Linked DNA regions of Saccharomyces cerevisiae S288C. The gene in region 1 interacts genetically with each later gene. Each region holds a gene or a part of one and is shown on either strand. Other genes may lie near its edges. The genes, in order: EMC10 and NTF2.

What was found.
Region 2: mutations in EMC10 (region 1) and NTF2 together harm fitness more than expected from each alone (negative genetic interaction), as found in Saccharomyces cerevisiae (one large-scale study listed by BioGRID).

What each region holds. Positions count from the first base shown.
Region 1 is NC_001136.10:564,187-567,522, forward strand, and holds EMC10 (Emc10p), read right to left. Parts: upstream 1,455-3,336; coding exon 837-1,454; downstream 1-836. Other genes in the region: PST1 (Pst1p), read left to right, coding at 1-675; YOS9 (Yos9p), read left to right, coding at 1,741-3,336. UniProt on the Saccharomyces cerevisiae protein: Part of the endoplasmic reticulum membrane protein complex (EMC) that enables the energy-independent insertion into endoplasmic reticulum membranes of newly synthesized membrane proteins.
Region 2 is NC_001137.3:170,450-173,328, forward strand, and holds NTF2 (Ran GTPase-binding protein NTF2), read left to right. Parts: upstream 1-1,665; coding exon 1,666-2,043; downstream 2,044-2,879. Other genes in the region: GTP-Rho binding exocyst subunit SEC3, read right to left, coding at 1-1,369; YER010C (bifunctional 4-hydroxy-4-methyl-2-oxoglutarate aldolase/oxaloacetate decarboxylase), read right to left, coding at 2,185-2,879. UniProt on the Saccharomyces cerevisiae protein: Facilitates protein transport into the nucleus. Interacts with various nucleoporins and with Ran-GDP. Could be part of a multicomponent system of cytosolic factors that assemble at the pore complex during nuclear import.

The DNA.
Region 1 (3,336 bases):
TTCGCTAACTTGCAAAAGATTAACTCTTCATTGGGTTTCATCAACAACTCCATCTCAAGTTTGAATTTCACTAAGCTAAACACCATTGGCCAAACCTTCAGTATCGTTTCCAATGACTACTTGAAGAACTTGTCGTTCTCTAATTTGTCAACCATAGGTGGTGCTCTTGTCGTTGCTAACAACACTGGTTTACAAAAAATTGGTGGTCTCGACAACCTAACAACCATTGGCGGTACTTTGGAAGTTGTTGGTAACTTCACCTCCTTGAACCTAGACTCTTTGAAGTCTGTCAAGGGTGGCGCAGATGTCGAATCAAAGTCAAGCAATTTCTCCTGTAATGCTTTGAAAGCTTTGCAAAAGAAAGGGGGTATCAAGGGTGAATCTTTTGTCTGCAAAAATGGTGCATCATCCACATCTGTTAAACTATCGTCCACTTCCAAATCTCAATCAAGCCAAACTACTGCCAAGGTTTCCAAGTCATCTTCTAAGGCCGAGGAAAAGAAGTTCACTTCTGGCGATATCAAGGCTGCTGCTTCTGCCTCTAGTGTTTCTAGTTCTGGCGCTTCCAGCTCTAGCTCTAAGAGTTCCAAAGGCAATGCCGCTATCATGGCACCAATTGGCCAAACAACCCCTTTGGTCGGTCTTTTGACGGCAATCATCATGTCTATAATGTAATGGAATGAAGAAATATTCTTCATTTTTGATAACTAGTACCTGTCATTCACGACATGTGAACAAATAAAAACATTTATTTAAAAATTTTATGTATTCAAATATTTTCGGGAAAGAGATAAAAGTAACGACACTTAAAAATTTAAAAAATCACAATACTTTATTTACTCAGTCTTTTGATCAGCTCCGGCACCTCCTTGTTGTTGCTTCTTTGCTGAGCCCGCAACAAAATTGTAAATCAATAGGCCTAAAAGTAACATTTTCCAGTTCTTTTGAAACCAAGACACCTCCTTAACCTCTTCATCTTCTTCGAATTGTGCAGTGCTTCCATCCTTATTCTTACTAGCTTTTTTATCAGCATAAGTTTTGGTTTTCTTCTTTAATTTGGTGACTGGTGCAGTAGGTCCCGCTTCTGGATATCTGACTGTAGCAGTAATAGCATCGTTAGTCTCGTCATATGATAACGACACTTGTTTGACCTCATTATCTTCATCTACATCCACAATTAAATCGTATTTTAGTGGTGTCCTCAGCTTCATGTAGCTAAAACATGGCATATCCAGCTTACCTTCAATCTGGGCATTCAAACAGTATTCTCCAGAAACTTCAACATCCTGTATATTAACGGTTGTTACTGTAACATTCCCATCGGATGTACTATCAATCTCAAATGTTCCTAGGGGTATAGCGTCTTTCGCATCATCTGAATAGCTTAATTGTAAAATATCAGCACAGAAAACCATGCTGGCCAATAAAATCACACGCAACAGCCGCACAAGCATCTTTCCTTCAATGAGTATTGTACAGTTCTTGTTAGATAGTGTTGAATAGTACCACCTTGTTTTTTTACTCAAAGTGTCTTTTATATACTTCTAATTATTCCTATATTTGGTTGGGTTTTTAAGTTACCAATGCAAATACAGTGGTTAGAGACCCAGCGCACGTATGCAAAAAAATACAGCGGAAATTTCAAGTAAAAATGTAGCTTCATAAAAAAGAAGCAGATTCCCTAAAATAAGCAATAGATCTTCACATATATCGTTATCATCCCCTTTCTTCCCTGTTTCAATGCAAGCTAAAATTATATATGCTCTGAGCGCAATTTCTGCGTTGATTCCGTTAGGATCATCACTATTAGCACCTATAGAAGACCCCATAGTATCGAATAAGTACCTCATATCTTACATCGATGAGGACGACTGGAGTGATAGGATATTACAAAATCAGTCTGTCATGAACTCGGGATATATAGTGAATATGGGCGACGACCTTGAATGCTTTATTCAAAATGCAAGCACTCAATTGAATGATGTATTGGAAGACTCAAATGAGCATAGCAATAGTGAAAAGACAGCATTATTAACTAAAACCCTGAATCAAGGTGTTAAGACAATTTTCGATAAATTAAATGAACGGTGCATCTTCTACCAAGCCGGATTTTGGATTTACGAGTACTGTCCTGGCATAGAATTTGTTCAGTTCCATGGTAGAGTAAATACAAAAACTGGTGAAATAGTAAATCGAGATGAATCTTTGGTCTACCGCCTGGGAAAACCAAAAGCAAATGTAGAAGAGAGAGAATTTGAACTACTTTATGACGATGTAGGATATTACATCAGCGAAATTATAGGGTCAGGTGATATTTGCGATGTGACGGGGGCTGAAAGAATGGTTGAAATACAATATGTCTGTGGCGGCTCAAACTCTGGACCATCGACTATTCAATGGGTGAGAGAAACAAAAATTTGTGTTTATGAAGCCCAAGTTACCATACCTGAATTGTGCAATTTAGAATTACTAGCCAAAAATGAAGACCAAAAGAACGCCTCACCTATACTTTGCAGGATGCCCGCAAAATCAAAAATTGGTAGTAACTCTATTGATTTAATCACCAAATATGAACCGATTTTTTTAGGTTCTGGAATATACTTTCTAAGGCCCTTTAACACCGACGAAAGAGACAAATTAATGGTTACTGACAATGCCATGTCAAATTGGGATGAGATTACGGAAACATATTACCAGAAATTTGGAAATGCCATAAACAAAATGCTTAGTTTGAGATTAGTATCGTTACCTAATGGACATATTCTCCAGCCTGGTGACTCATGTGTTTGGTTGGCGGAAGTGGTTGATATGAAAGATCGGTTTCAAACCACTTTATCGTTGAACATACTTAATTCACAGAGAGCAGAGATATTTTTCAACAAGACGTTTACATTTAATGAAGATAATGGAAACTTCCTATCATACAAAATTGGGGATCATGGCGAGTCAACTGAACTTGGTCAAATAACCCACTCAAACAAAGCAGATATAAATACCGCAGAAATTCGGTCAGATGAATACTTAATTAACACTGATAATGAGCTATTCTTGAGGATTTCTAAGGAGATAGCAGAAGTGAAAGAATTATTAAACGAAATCGTAAGTCCACATGAAATGGAAGTAATATTTGAAAACATGAGAAATCAACCGAATAATGATTTTGAACTGGCGTTGATGAACAAGTTGAAATCCTCATTAAATGATGATAACAAAGTTGAGCAGATAAACAACGCAAGGATGGATGATGATGAAAGCACTAGTCATACAACCAGAGACATCGGGGAAGCTGGATCACAAACGACAGGGAATACTGAATCGGAGGTAACAAACGTAGCA
Region 2 (2,879 bases), on another chromosome or scaffold:
TTTTACTTTTTTCTTCCTCCTCCTTTTTAGCAAGCGCTTCTTGCTCTTCTTTTTTTAATCTCTCAGCTGTTTCTTGTTCTCTTTGTTTTCTCTGTATTTCCAATAGTTCTCTCTCTTTTTTTAGGCGTTGCTCTTCTTCGAATTGCCGTTGACGTTTCAACTCCATTTGCTTTTTAGCCTCCAGTTCCATTTGACGTTTTCGTTCCTCTTCTTCGAGTTGTCGTTGGTGTTCCAATTCCATTTGCCTTTTCCTCTCCTCCTGCTTTATTCTTCTTTCCTCTTCTAATCTTTTCATCTCATTTTCCTTTTGTAACTGAAGTCTTTTTTGCTCTTCTAATCGTCTCAGTTCAGCCTCTTCTTGTTGCTGTTGTTGCTCTAACTCGTATCTTTTATTCACTTCATTCAATGTCGAATTGGAAGAATAGGGGGCCTTATTTAGAGATTTCATTCCTGCATGATATTCCACGCTTGCAGGCGTTGACACTGGATTAACGCTTTCTGTTTCAGACCTTCTTGTCCTCTCAGTAGGTGCTGAAAAGGGGACAGAGCCCACCGATTGGGTAGTGTTTGTCGTGAAATTACTTGTAGGTGACTTTATTGGAGATACGGAACCGGGGCGATTTGTGATGACTGCTCTTTGATAACTCCTCTCGTCAAGATAAAAAAGGGATAAATCCCAATTGACCAATTCAGGGACATGACCTTCGAATGTTTGAATGTATAGAGTAATTAGAGATTTAATGAAAACAGTTCTTTCCTTCGCAGAATTCGTTTCCCAGTAGTATTTTTTACTCATGGTAAGAATGAAGCCTTCAGATATCTCCAGGTCCTTCTCTACTCTTACTAGTTCGGTCAACTGCCAAGTTCTACCAATTTGAAAAGAGCCGTCTGAGTTTTCTCTTGCTTTATGAATTTGTATTAGCTTGGCATTGTTGGGCTTGGCACTCAAAATAAGGAGTCTTTTCTTTTTGTTCTCCAATTTTGAATCTGGAGGAGGTCTTGAACTAGGGAATTTTGAATCTTCTATAATCCGGACATGTGTAATATAATTATTCGGCGGTTCACCTGTCTTATGGTCGGGTCTGGAAAAGCAGCAATTAATTATGGCTTTCCTATCCCTTTCATATTGTTCGGCTAAAAAATTCGAAGTTTGAGAGGAATTTGAAGCTCTCGACACGTTTCTCTTATGCGAATAATTTCCACCAGAAACAGGTGGTGCGGAAGAGGGTACTGCACCTTGACTGACGTTTCTAGAATGGTGAGCACTGCTACCGGATATTGTTCTCTTGTGGAAAAACGATGTGTTTTCATCGTGTGATGTCTCACGACTGTGAGACTTCCTTTTAAAAGGAGACTTCGAGGACCTCATAATATAGAATAAATTGCGTAGCCTTGTTACCTAGCTGGAGATATCTGGCACCGACTCAGTCTTTATGACCGCTTTTTCTTCATAAGCTATGATACTGTTATTGCTATAAGTGTTCACCAAGTTAGTATTTGCCCATTAATACCGGGTGACATAGTCCCACAAGCGTGGTTCTCAAAAAGCAACGAAAAATTTTCTGACTTGGCAAGGTGAGACTTAGGCTGATAAGTAAGTACTTTTTAGTTTTTAGTGTACAATACCCCCTAAGGAACCCAGGTTTTAATACTATTATCTTTATAATGTCTCTCGACTTTAACACTTTGGCCCAAAACTTCACCCAGTTTTACTATAATCAATTTGATACCGATAGAAGCCAATTGGGTAACTTGTACAGAAATGAATCTATGCTAACATTCGAGACTAGTCAATTGCAAGGTGCAAAGGACATTGTTGAGAAATTAGTATCTTTGCCATTTCAAAAGGTCCAACATCGTATCACTACTTTGGATGCGCAACCTGCTTCCCCAAATGGCGATGTCTTAGTCATGATCACTGGTGATCTGTTGATTGACGAAGAACAAAATCCACAGCGTTTCTCTCAAGTGTTCCATTTGATTCCTGATGGAAACTCTTACTACGTGTTTAACGATATCTTCCGTTTGAATTACTCTGCTTAAGGATTTTTTAAGTCACCACAGAAACATGTATTTTCATTTTCGAATATTGTTTAGCATAATTGAAGATGCTTAGCTAACGATGTATAAGGCGATAGCGATAAAGAAGATATATATATATATATATGTATGAAGATAGCGTTTTTAAATGTATTTCTTTAATACTGATCTTCGATCATTTTGAGCTTGTTTGGCGGGAATACCATTCTTAATATCTTCAGAGACAAGTAAATCCACTTCAATTGACTTTTCGATATAGGTAACTAATTTTGAAATGTCAGTCTCTTGAACAGGAATGCGTACTATTCCATTATTGTCACCTGCAATATAATCACCAGGACATATTGTTTGGGTTACGCCATCACTCGTTAAGATTTTCAACTGTACGTTAGTGCCTACGGCTTTAACGACAGCCTTTGGAGCGCAAGATCCAACACCGTAAGCAAAAACGGGATGGTTTAAAGTCCGGTGTTCATCCACATCTCTTATGCGTCCAAAGACTACTGTCCCATTCGATTTCAAATATTGTGCTCTGGTACTCATCAGCCCCCCGTACATCGCTTGCGTAATTTTAATAAATGGGTGGAACTGACTTTGCAAATGGGGCTCCAGTGCGAGGACGAGTATTGAGTTGGGAGGGACAGAGTCTATATAGTTCACGGCAGGTCTTGGATCATCAATGGGTGCAAACAGTACTGTGTATGCAGTGCCTACTATGGAGCTATTTTGCGGTGGAGAAATTGCTGTTAGATTAGGGAAATAACCACCCGTTGGAATGTTATAAACATTCAACAATCCGTCCGAAATATCACAGGTTGAGAACCTCTGTAACTTTTGAA